Cricetulus griseus: one gene and its partners. The protein of the gene in region 1 binds, or shares a complex with, the protein of each later gene. Links are inferred from orthologs where the notes say so. Each region holds a gene or a part of one and is shown in the gene's direction. Other genes may lie near its edges.

The links.
Region 2: the proteins of Ptpn22 (region 1) and Csk are in contact, whole or in part, in an NMR structure (PDB 1JEG), measured with the Mus musculus proteins. The link is inferred for Cricetulus griseus from reciprocal best matches to the Homo sapiens genes PTPN22 and CSK. Residues at the interface, in NP_033005.1 of Mus musculus: Pro614, Pro615, Leu616, Pro617, Glu618, Arg619, Thr620, Glu622, Ser623, Phe624, Ile625, Val626, Val627; in NP_001291690.1 of Mus musculus: Phe20, Thr23, Gln26, Ala40, Val41, Thr42, Lys43, Asp44, Asn46, Trp47, Ile59, Pro61, Asn63, Tyr64.
Region 3: the proteins of Ptpn22 (region 1) and Pstpip1 are in contact, whole or in part, in a crystal structure (PDB 7AAM), measured with the Homo sapiens proteins. The link is inferred for Cricetulus griseus from reciprocal best matches to the Homo sapiens genes PTPN22 and PSTPIP1. Residues at the interface, in NP_057051.4 of Homo sapiens: Ser793, Lys794, Pro795, Gly797, Pro798, Arg799, Asn800, Pro801, Pro802, Trp805, Asn806; in NP_003969.2 of Homo sapiens: Thr225, Arg228, Asn229, Trp232, Asn236, Ser239, Met240, Cys242, Val243, Asp246.

What each region holds. Positions count from the first base shown.
Region 1 is NW_023276806.1:53,075,472-53,079,434, reverse strand, and holds the start of Ptpn22 (tyrosine-protein phosphatase non-receptor type 22), read left to right. Parts: upstream 1-1,158; 5' UTR 1,159-1,270; coding exon 1,271-1,357; intron 1,358-3,963. UniProt on the Homo sapiens protein: Acts as a negative regulator of T-cell receptor (TCR) signaling by direct dephosphorylation of the Src family kinases LCK and FYN, ITAMs of the TCRz/CD3 complex, as well as ZAP70, VAV, VCP and other key signaling molecules.
Region 2 is NC_048597.1:169,257,794-169,261,894, reverse strand, and holds the start of Csk (tyrosine-protein kinase CSK), read left to right. Parts: upstream 1-1,294; 5' UTR 1,295-1,356; coding exon 1,357-1,371; intron 1,372-1,686; coding exon 1,687-1,800; intron 1,801-1,916; coding exon 1,917-2,029; intron 2,030-2,282; coding exon 2,283-2,502; intron 2,503-3,277; coding exon 3,278-3,371; intron 3,372-3,529; coding exon 3,530-3,595; intron 3,596-3,672; coding exon 3,673-3,772; intron 3,773-3,882; coding exon 3,883-3,973; intron 3,974-4,101. UniProt on the Homo sapiens protein: Non-receptor tyrosine-protein kinase that plays an important role in the regulation of cell growth, differentiation, migration and immune response.
Region 3 is NC_048597.1:167,620,746-167,624,751, forward strand, and holds the start of Pstpip1 (proline-serine-threonine phosphatase-interacting protein 1), read left to right. Parts: upstream 1-1,199; 5' UTR 1,200-1,327; coding exon 1,328-1,426; coding exon of another isoform or gene 1,427-1,428; intron 1,429-2,957; coding exon 2,958-3,058; intron 3,059-3,708; coding exon 3,709-3,783; intron 3,784-4,006. UniProt on the Homo sapiens protein: Involved in regulation of the actin cytoskeleton. May regulate WAS actin-bundling activity. Bridges the interaction between ABL1 and PTPN18 leading to ABL1 dephosphorylation.

The sequences.
Region 1 (3,963 bases):
TTCCTCCTTTAAAGATAATATATTCACTTGGGGTGAATTAGATCTTGGGTGGATTTGTACCCATTGAAGAGAGAATTTATGCAAACGGAGGCATGGAAGCTTTCTCTAGAGCAGCCTGCCTATCAAGGCACAAATGCCATGAGTAGGGGATGGCTTCCTGAAATGGGATGTTTTCTAAGACTGTGGCTGTAGGGCAAAAAATGTCAAAATGTCTTCATGAGAATCACTTCTTTAGGCTTTCTCTCTCCCTCTCTCTTTCATTCTTCCTTTCTTCTCTGTCTCTCTCTTTCTCTGTCTCTGTGTCTCTCTCTCTCTTTCAGTTTTTGAGGGAGAGGTCTCATTTTGTTGCCCAGGTGTCTCAAACTCCCAGACTCAAGTGATCCTCCAGTTGGGTGACACTCCTGAGTAGCGAGGACCCCAGATTGCACTGCTATACTCACTTCTCCCAAGACTTTCTGACCTAGAATCTGTATTACACTCGACAAATTAAATTTTAGTTTTCATTCCTTCACTGTCTACTAGCAGTGCGTTCTGAGGATAGTGTGCTGTCTACCAGGTGCTTCTCCTCCATAGAACAGTGCTCTCCATGTTTGTATTCAGAACCCAAATAAGGATCAAAGCTACTGCAGGTTTGAAGAGGTACAGAGATCAACACTTCCCTCTATGGGGGGCCAGTACTTCCCCAGCCGTGAGAGAGACTGCCTGCCTGTCAGAAGCAGTTGACAAGTTCTGAAGTAAAATGCCTGCTCTGACTTTGGCGACAATAGTCCAGGTAGAAGATAGATAACTCCAGTGTCTGTCTCCTTCCCTGTAGAGGGACGGCAGGTGCTCATCACCCAGGCCTTTGCTCTCCTGGGGAATGTGGAAAGGCTGAACACACCTTATGTTAGAGCTGTACTTCTGTCTGTTGTCTGGGAAGCATCAAGAGAGGTGAGGTGAGTACTGTGGAAAGCTGGCAGAGTCCCCCAGCTAAGCAGACCACAGTTTAATGTTCTGGTTAGCCTCTTGTTCGCTACATTTGAACTGTAGCCAGGTTTCTTTGTTGAGAAAGGAAGGCGCTAGGGCCCTGGAGGGAGATGATGGCTTTGTTGTGTGACCACAGAAGTTGGTTTCGTACTAATTTCCTCTAGGGCTTGTGATGCAGTCAGTAAACCACAGCCTCCAGCGTGCTGTGCTCAGGCAGCAGCAGTGGCTTCTTGGTGGTGTCTTGGCCATGACACACATTTGACATGCCCTCACTTAATTCACTCACAGACTTTTGCTCTGCGGCATGGACCAAAGAGAAATTTTGCAGCGGTTACTGAATGAGGCCCAGAAAAAGAAAATTAATAATGAGGAGTTTGCCAATGAATTTCTGGTGAGTTCTGGGATGTTTGAAAGAGGAGTTAGATGCACTGTTTAACGGTCTGCTGTGGTCTAACCTGCCTAGACTGAATTGCTGTAGGGACAAATTGAACATCAGAGCTTGGACTACAAGGGGTTGCGTGGGGAGACAACCTAAAAACATAACTTCTGTGAGTTTTGTTGTATCTGTGTATTCAGCATTTTTTTCAGGTATGCTGGTTTTATTGTTGTGTTTGTGGGTTTTTTTGAGTTTATCAGTCCTATGAAGGTATATACAGATGTATGAATATTAATACCTTTTGAGCATCTGGAGAAAGCATTTGAGTTGTGTTTTAAGCTTCAAATTACTCATTTTAATTGATACCAAAAAGAAAGAGACTAAGAGGAACTCCTCGTGTAGTGTTGAATTTTTAGACTCCCTATAGGATATCATTTGGATGACAGGCTTTTGAATTACACCAAAACTGTCATTTGCCACTTTATTCTATTTTCCCTTTTCTATTGACAAGTTTTTTTCTTTTTTCTTTTCTTTTCTTTTCTTTTCTTTCTTTCTTTCTTTCTTTTTTTTTTTTTTTTTTTTTTTGGTTTTTTGAGACAGGGTTTCTCTGTGTAGCTTTGGAGCCTATCCTGGCACTTGCTCTGGAGACCAGGCTGGCCTCGAACTCACAGAGATCCACCTGCCTCTGCCTCCCGAGTGCTGGGATTAAAGGCGTGCGCCACCAACACTCGGCCTAATGACAAGTTTTTAGAACAGCATTTTCCTTTTTTTTTTGCCCTAACTGGGTTTCTTTAACTTCTATTGTTTGGAGAAGAAGTGGACTGGGTAGAGTGGGAAGTAGAGACAACTAGGGGACACAGGAACAAGGTAGCCAGGGAGCAGGTGGACTTGACTATCCAGAAGACAATGGGTCTCCTTGTAGGGGAGCTGTAGTTGTCAATGCAGTAAAAGCTGGGCAGGCTATATGGCTCCATGTCAGGTACACTGGAGAGTGTGGGATCTGACAGACATGTCATGGTTTTGATTTTATTGTTTTGCTTGGTTTTTGTTTGTATCACTGTGTAGCTTATCTGCCCTGGAACTTGCTGTGTGGATCAGACTTGGCCTTGAACTCACAGAGATCCTTCTGCCTCTGCCTCCTGGTTTCTGGGATCAAAGGCGTGTGCCACCACTCCAGCCTGTTATGCTTTGAAATGCTTCTAGTTGGTGTTTTAGAATTATAAGAATATTGAGTCTTAGCCCTTCAACTTTTAATTGCAAAAAATGAATAAAATCTTTGTTTTCTAACTTACAAAATGAGGATAATAATATATAATATATGTCTTATCTACTCTCATTGGATTATTGTGTTGATTAGACACAAATAATTATGATAATTAAATACAAGGTACTATGGAGGTGCCTAGAGTGCTAGCTACTTAAGGCTGAGGTCAGTTGGACTGTGAGTTCAAGGTTAGCCCATCCAGCTTAGAGGGACCATATCTTGAGAAAAAAAAAGAAAGAAAGAAATAATTCATTAATATTTATTGAGCACTTACTGTATACTAACTTTGTTTTTTCACCCTAAGATATAGTAGTGAATAAAATGTCTTTGCCTTCCAGAGCTAGCATTCTAGGACCAGATATTAGATGAGAAAACACTCTATGAAGTTTTCACTGACTGGGTATCATGATTAGATATCACCGTAGGCTAGTGTATAAGCAGCTCAACTTTGATGCTAAGGTATTATGCCAACTCAACTTTCATATGGTCATGATGTCATAAAAATGTATTCTTTCTGCCACAAGTCCTCAGAGTAGGTTTGCCACAGGGTAGAGTTCCATATGTCTGCTTAGATATGTGGTTGCATTTTGACTGTTGTTCTTGAGTCAATTTGTGAAGATATAGAGGGGAAAAAAGTGATCTGAGTGGCAGTGTTAGCTTCTGTCTTATTTTTTTATTGTATTTTTCAAAACAAAAGACTGTATCTCTATATTTTAACCCTTGTAGAGGTCATTATAATCTCTCACCAAATTGTGGTAGCCACCTCCTGACCATGTTCTCTGCTTCTAGCCTTGTCCCACCTTCAGCTAATTTTCTTGGATAAGGTCTCACTAAAGTAGCCCTAGCTGGCCTGGAACACATTCTATAGACCAAACTAGCATCAAACTCAAAGATTCACCTACCTTTGTGTCCAAGCACAGCGATTAAAGATGTGCACCACCATGCTTAGTGCCCAAGTAATTTTTTAATGATATAAATCTGGTTATACTTTTCTCAGCTTAAGAACTTTTTACAGCTTGTTTTTTTTTAGCTACTTGTAATTTTTAGCTATAATACATATTTAGAAAACTACATAAAACGTGCGAATATAATGATAAAGGAACCATTGCCAATGCAGTCTCCACTCAGACGAAGAACTACAGTAGCATCAAACTCCAAAAGATCCCTAGCTCTCCCTTTCCCAGCAGGGTTCTCCACCCACCCCACCCCACCCAAGAGTAAATCACTGTCCTGGCTTTATATTAATCATTCCCTTGTTCTTCTTACTCCTGATTCTTAAGAACCTTGTTTTGGGGTGGTGATTAAGTGGAACCTCACTGTTCACTGACTCATGTCCTCCAGTGGAAAAACAAGAGTT
Region 2 (4,101 bases), on another chromosome or scaffold:
ATGTGTACGTGCAGGTATGCATGCACATGCACACACATGTACCAGCACCTACACTGAAAGTCCTCTTCTAGCAGTGGTGTACATAGCCGCCATAAGTGCAATGGCTAGACCTCACCTCTCCCATCCCAAGTGCATCTGTCATCTAGCCCTGTGACCACAGAAAGGCCATTGGCTGTTCCCTCACCAGAAAGAGAACAGTAGCCCCACTCTGCCTGAGTCCTTCTGAGGTTATCTGAGGTCTGGGGCTGTATTTGGACTGAATGTGTTGGTGACATATATGTGTGTGTGTGTGTGTGTGTGTGTGAAGACATGCTTGCTGCTCTGGGGGAGTGTTCTGAGGAATTCCATTTACAAAAGTGCACATAAATCCAGAAGAGCACCAGCTCTCAGGCTACACCCAGCAAGTTTCTCTGGAGCAAACCCTCTCTTGCAAGGGGGCTCAGACAGCCCCCATAGCTGACACCTTGAAGCCCCCTCACACCCTGTCCAGTTCTTTCCTCTGCAGAGATTCATCCTGACAAGCCTGGATTGGTTTGATCCAGTTTTAAACTTGATACAAAGAGAATCACAAAGCTTGTGCTTCTCTGTGCCTAGCTCCTTGGTGAGAATCCAAGGCTGATAGGTGGCTGACATGGGCCATGCCACCGCTGTATGGAATTCCATCTTGTGACTTCTCCCTATTTTATCCACTTCATTTTCAGTACCTGGGCAGTTAGCTCTTGGTCTGAGATTTACTACAGAGCACACCATGAGAGAGCACCTACCCCTCTCCTGGAGGACATGGGCTACTTTCTTTTGGGTGTGTGCCAAGAAATAAGCACAGATATTTGTCTATACAGTCTCTGGGACAAGCCTGTGACCTTGTCTAACAAGTGACTTTCCTGGACCACTCATCACCTGCCTGGTTTCAGAGTTTCCCTAGACTCCCTTTCCCTGACAATCCTCAAGGCCTCCCTGGGACTCTTGAGTCTGTGTGCTTCTACCCAAGGCTAGATAGAACAGCCCTGGAGCCGGGCGTTGGTGGTGCATGCCTTTAATCACTGCACTCGGGAGGCAGGGGCAGGCGGATCTCTGTGAGTTTGAGGCCATCCTGGTCTACAGAGCAAGTTCCAGGACAGACTCCAAAACAATTCAGAGAAACCCTATTGGGGGGGGGGGGCAGCCCTGGATCCATGTACCAACTCTCAGAAGCTTTGGCACTGTGGCTTGTACTGCCTTGAAGGAACTGATGATCACCCACAGAGGGTGGGGTCGTCTCTTCTCAGCCTTCCTCAGCTTGTCTCCTCTCCCACAGCTCTAATGGTACCAAGTAACGGATTGGCCTTCCTGTAGCACGGGGACGCCAGATCTAAGAAGATGTCGGCAATACAGGTACCATGGGGTTGTGGTGGGGACAGATGAGGCAATCCCACATCTGGAAAAAGAGTGGGTGCTTAGACCAGCCTATTCCCCATTCCCAACCCTCCATGCTAGTCAAGACTTTGAAGCAACGGTAATTCCAGTGTGCTCTATTGGGCACAGGGCCCCAGACTGGGCTGCAGAGCAATTTGAGCTGGAAGGGACTGGGCATTCTCTTACCCCAAACTCATGGATATCAGCTAAGATGCTTTGGTCTCAAGGGCATTCGGGCAGAGGGGTAGAGAAGGGCCCCAGGCAGCACCCCCATACCTGTCCCTTACCTTGTAGGCCGCCTGGCCATCCGGTACAGAATGTATTGCCAAGTACAACTTCCATGGCACTGCTGAGCAAGACCTGCCCTTCTGCAAAGGAGACGTGCTCACCATTGTGGCGGTCACTAAGGTACTGTGGACCTTAGATGCCTATCCCATTCTTTCACCTCCAGGGATTCCCTCTGGGTTTGGCTCCCCAGCAGAGGGAGGTAGACCTGAGAGTGTGTCTGGTTGCCCTCTCTCCAGGACCCAAACTGGTACAAAGCCAAAAACAAAGTGGGCCGTGAGGGCATCATCCCAGCCAACTATGTCCAGAAGCGTGAGGGTGTGAAGGCAGGCACCAAACTCAGCCTTATGCCGTGAGTACCAGGAGGAGGGCTGGAGTCTCCTGGTTTGGGGAGAAGAGAGGAAAACAACCCTGAGTAAGAGGCGTTGTAGGAATGGAACAAGAGGTTGCACCTAACAGAGGGAATAGGCACCCAGCAGAAGAAAAGGGGACAGGGAGAAGATGGTGCCCTGGCTGATTGGAAGCAGTGGGAAAGCGCATGTGGGGGGCTGGCAGGAGGCACTGGGGTCAGTGCCATTGTGACCCCCAGCCTTGCCACCCCCTAGCTGGTTCCATGGCAAAATCACACGGGAGCAGGCCGAGCGGCTTCTCTACCCACCAGAGACGGGCCTGTTCCTGGTGAGGGAAAGCACCAACTACCCTGGGGACTACACACTGTGTGTGAGCTGTGAAGGCAAGGTGGAACACTACCGCATCATGTACCATGCGAGCAAGTTGAGCATCGATGAGGAGGTGTACTTCGAGAACCTCATGCAGCTGGTGGAGGTGAGTAGGGGTGCTCCCCCTTCTGCCCACACTCAGACACACCTGAGTCCACCTGAGGACATTTCACACAAACCCAGCACCAAGTCACCTGGCAGAGTAACCTGGACACGTTGACAGCACACCCCAGTGGAGCACCTGCTATGTGCCAGGGCCCATAGTACCCCAACAAGGGCCCGTTTTATAGATAAGGACACAAAGTTCTGATCAGTGAAAGTCTCTCCTCTCTCTGTACGTTGGAGGTGCCACTAGACTTTGAGGCTATCTGATCCAGAACTCAATTCCTCTTCCACTCGAACCTCCTCGTGTGTGTGCCCTGGCCACCAGGGTCCTTCAGGCCTTTGCACACCCACAGGTCCTTGCAGCTTCCGACACCAGCTCTGTCAGCTCTGACCAGGCCATACTTGGCAACAGAAAACTGTAGGTTCCCTCCAAGCTCACTCTCATCCTGTCTCTGGTTTACATTGGCCGAGGACACCTGGCTGGAGGCTGGTGCAGGGAGCAGGCCAGGCTTTGCTGTTTACCTTAAGATGCTGGTCAGGCCCACAGCAGTAGTGACAATTGGGAGTCCAGTAGCTGATGTGGGTGGGGTGACACAGGAAATGGACAGGCATTCCCACCCTTTTGAAATGAGGAACCTTTCACACAAAGCAGCTGGAGGCTTCGTGAACTGGCCTCTGCTGCCCCCTGGTGGTCAGACCTGAGCAGCCCGTGAGTCTATGAAAAATGGGGCCAGCGGGTCTGGTTCTGAGGGCCTGCCCTCCCCCTCTCTCTGCAGCACTACACCACAGATGCCGATGGACTCTGCACTCGCCTCATCAAACCAAAGGTCATGGAGGGCACAGTGGCCGCCCAAGATGAATTCTACCGCAGTAAGTACACTAACTACATTTCCACTGGCCTACCCTGGTGGTTTGGAGACATCAGACATCCCACATCTAAAGCAGTTTGGCCTGTGCCTGCCATCTCAAACGGCCTCAACTCTCTGTTCACCTCACTGACACACTGCTTTTCTGCCCCCACCCCACAGGTGGCTGGGCCCTGAACATGAAGGAACTGAAGCTGCTACAGACGATTGGGAAGGGGGAGTTTGGAGGTAAGTTGAGGGAGCCCCGGGAGGGTCTGAGAAGCTTCGGGTGTCCAGGAAACCGCATCCCTCCCTTCTTCCTCCAGACGTGATGCTGGGTGATTATCGGGGCAACAAAGTTGCAGTTAAATGCATTAAGAATGATGCCACTGCCCAGGCCTTCCTGGCTGAAGCCTCTGTCATGACGTAAGTTGAGACAAGCATAAGGGCAGGTTGCCTGGGGCCTGGGTGGAACGGGGGAGGCTGGCTGACTGAACTCTGAACTCTGGCTGACTACTCTGTCCCGCCTTGTCCAGGCAACTTCGGCACAGCAACCTGGTCCAGCTACTGGGTGTGATTGTGGAGGAGAAGGGTGGGCTCTACATTGTCACAGAGTACATGGCCAAGGTGGGTTCTCCTCAGCCTCACCTCTCCCTCCTCCCAGCCCCTCCACTTTGTCCCCACTGAGCTTTGAAGTTGCCAATCCTGGCCAGTCACTTACTTACTGAGGGACAAGTCGTGCCCTCTCCAAGCCA
Region 3 (4,006 bases), on another chromosome or scaffold:
ACTGCCAGGCTGTTTCCCCCCCTGTCCAGTATCCCAGCCACTGAAACCTTCGTAAGAGTAAATCCACAGGGAGACAGAGCTCCAAGTCTAAGATCCACTTGCCCAAAGAATAGGACTGGGGGCTATTTATAGGGCCAGGAAGCAGGACGGTCCAATGTATAGAGAGCAAGACTGGAAGCAAAGCAATCTGTGGCCTGCATGTGTGCAAACTTTACAACTCTTCTTGGTTAGGAAGTGGGGGTAATAGCTTATCTGAGGAGAATTTTTGCTTCTTCAGGTAAAAAGTCATCCAAATAATATCTATGAAGACTAGGGTGAAAACAGTGGTGTTTTGCAGTAAAGGCCTTCAGGTTTATGAATAATGAATGGCCTAGACAAACATAGTTTTCATGCCCCTCCCCCAAATCAGTGGTTTCAGCATAGCCAAGCTAGCAGGGAACTGATAATACACAGTTATGTAGCCTCCAGAATCAGTGACTTCTAAAGAAAACTAAAAGTAAGTGACTAGGGAGAGCATGGGGGCTCAGCCAGAGCAGGGAATGGTACAAAGGGCTGGTGAGGGTAATGAGGCTAGGCCTCAGTGTTGGCTGGCTGCTGGCAACCAAAGCCTGGCTGTCCTCCATGGTGTCCCTGGGTGGCTGTGTCCTGGGAATGGCTCAGCTCCTGGAGTGCTGCCTAGGCTGCAGAAGATCCCCATTCACTGCTGCAAAGCCCTTCTCAGGGCAAATGCCTAGCAGGTTGTAGTGGATCCAGTAAGGGCTTCGTTGTCTTAAAAGATTTGTCTTGTTATTTATGTGTATGTGTGCATGTACATGTGGGTGCCTGCAGAGGCCCAAAGAGGGAGTTAGATCCCCTGGAGCTGAAGTTGCAGGAGGCTGTGAGCCACGGGACCTCTGCAAGAGTAGTAAGTGCTCCTAACTTCTGAGCCTTCGCTCAAGGCCCAGGCAGGGCTCTATTTTCATGCTTTAGGGTAACATCATGGGCAGGATTTGATTGACAGGCTAATGGTGGACAGGAAGAGGTGAGAAAGGGGGGGGAAGAGAGAGCGAGCTGGGGTAGCCCTGGGGAGTCTGCCGTGGATAGATGGTGGACTTCTGATTGGGAGGTTCTTTCCCACAATCCCCTTCCTTCTTCCCTTGGCAGTGAATCAGTCTGTCTGCTGAGAAGGTGGTGGTGTGGGGGTGAAGGAGGAGGAGAATGAGGGGGCAGGGATGGAAGCAAGGCAGGCAGCCCTGAGGGACTAGACACTCCCTTAGAACAGCTGGATCACTTGTGACTGTGGCTCATTGTGCCTGACGCCACCACAGCGGCAGCACACAAGGGCTGGATGGGAGTCTCTAGCCTGCTGCAGGTGCCGAGGACACTAGCTCCTGAAGACCTGGGCTGCAGGGCCCCTTGCTGCCTTTCATGTCCTCCAGTATGGCCGGTGTGAGTCTGGTTGGCTTTCCTTTTTCTACCCTGGGACTCAGAGGACAGAAAGAGCCCCTTGGAGATTCAGGACTGGGCATGGGGGAGGAAGCATAGACCGTTAGCCCTCCCTGCAAAAATTCCTCAGAGGAGAAAGTCTCCTGAGGGGCTAGGTTCTAGTTTGTAATAAAGCTCCAGGCAGGCCCTTCCCTTCTCTGGGGCTCAGTTTCTTAAGGGCTGAGGGGCACTGGACAGATTCTTCACAGTTCTGGGGTCTGTGGTTTTGTGCCCTGAATGTTAACACAAGCTCAGTGACCCCCACAGGGAAGGGGGGTATCTGTAGCTTCTGACTCACTTTTTCCTCATGCTGCTACAGACTTTGACCTGGGAGTCCCCAGGGAGGGCAGAGGTCAAGAGTGGGAAGCTGTGCTCTAAACTCGGAAAGAAAGGGGGGGGAGGGGAGGGAGGGAGGGAGAGAAAGAGAAAGAAAGAAAGAAAGAAAGAAAGAAAGAAAGGAAGGAAGGAAGGAAGGAGGAAGGAAGGAAGGGAAGAAGGAAGGAAGGGAAGAAGGAAGGAAGGGAGGAAGGAAGGAAGGGAGGAAGGAAAGAAAGCTGACCTTTAAAGACATAAAAAATGAGAGCCTGGCTCCGGATGGTACAGCCTAGACTTGGAAGGGAGATGCCTGCCCCTAATGGGCCTGCAGCAAGTTGCAGGGGCAACTGTCTCAGGTTGGGGTATCACATAGCCAGCTAAGGCTATTATTAAAAATCAAGAAAAGGACTGAGGGTATGGCTTAGGGTTAGGGCAATTGCCTAGAAGACCTGGGTTATACCTCCAGTAAGTTTCTTACAGGGGGATTTGGTGGACCTCAAGATCTACAGAGAATCAGATATTGGGAAGAGTACAGGGGGCATAAGTGCCCCCCACCCCTGTCTACATTCAGCCAACTTGAAGTGTTGCATCTCTCTGTAGAATTTCAGCCTGTAAGCTCATATCCCCTTTTCTGAGCAGTGCTGAGCCTAGGGTCAGCTGTCCATTGGCCACTAAGCTGTGGATCTAGGCCTTAGCTGGCTCCACAAGGCTTACGCACAAGGTCAGCTGCTTCCCAGAATCCCCTAGTTAAGAGATGACTCCAGCAGGGGATGCAACAGAACTTGAGCCAGGCCAGGTGTTCTATGACCAGTCACCACTTTTACCTCCTGAACATGCTTCCTTACTTAGCTCAAGTCATGAGGTCATAGGGCACAAGCCACACCAGGCATTTAATTAGAAAGAATCTGGGGCCTGGCTGTCATCACGGAGCCTCAGTAGGGCCATTCTCATCTACCCACTGTCTTGTGTTAAAGCTGCTGTATCAGACTCTTGAGGCCTGACAGCTGTGGTCCTGGAACCTCCATGTATGGGGTGGTACTGTGTACCAGCATGAGGCTGGCCCTAACCTGTAGGTGCTTGACCAGGGACATGGAGGCCAGAAAGAGGCTGTTCTCCAGAGGTTGTCAGCAAGGTCCTTGCTGTCCTACTGGGGTCCTCATGAATGTCCAATGTTACAGTGCAGGGACTTCACGGCCCACACGGGATATGAGGTACTGCTACAGCGGCTGCTGGATGGCAGGAAGATGTGCAAAGATGTGGAGGAGCTGCTCAGGCAGAGGTAAGCAGGGCTGGGCTTGGGTGGTCAGAGCAGACAGGGAAGGGAGTGGTTACGCCCCCTAGAGCCCAGCTGCTCTCAGTATGGGTCTGCTTTCAAAAGCTAAGAGCTAAAACTCCTCAGATGGTTCAGTGGGTCGATCACTTGCTAAACAAGAATAGGGACATGAGTTCAAATCCCCTTCAAAACAAGAGGGGATGCAGTGACAAGATCCCCAGAGGCCTCCTTGGTATCTCTGCAGGATATAGTATACGAACATATGAAATCTTAAAGGGGGTGGAGAGGGTGGGGAAGTTGTCCTTTGACTTCCACAGGTACGTTGTGGTACCTATACACCTGGACTCACACACACACACACACACACACACACACACACACACACACACACTCATACATTCACACACGAGCCAGAGCTCTCTGTTGTCTCCTGCGGCTCCTGGGCCTGGGCCTCCTCCAAGGGGCATACCATGTAGCAGCCCTTTGGACAGGCCTGTTTTCAACTAACATTTATCCTCAGAAGGAAACAGCTCAACTTTTTCAGTAGCCATTTTGCCAACAAAATATGATGGGAGAATATGGGTCCTGTACATATTTTGGGGCCATAGCCAGCCAATAGTGGTGGAAGGGACACAGTGCTTGCTCTGTCCTTGCAGGGCCCAGGCGGAAGAGAGGTACGGGAAGGAGCTGGTGCAGATTGCGCGCAAGGCTGGTGGCCAGACAGAGATCAAGTAAGAGTGCTGGTGGCTCCCCCTGCTTCTCTGAGGAATCTTCTGGACTTTACTCGGGGCTTGGGGCTTTCTGATTGGGGTAAACTGGACAGCAGCATCTGGACCCCATGTGGTGCCTGTTACCAGGCATCCTGAGGCCATCATCTTGTATGAGTTTGTGCTCTGGGAAGACCAGGGTTCATGGCACCACCAGCCTCACCATCACCAAGTCAGGAGGGCAGGT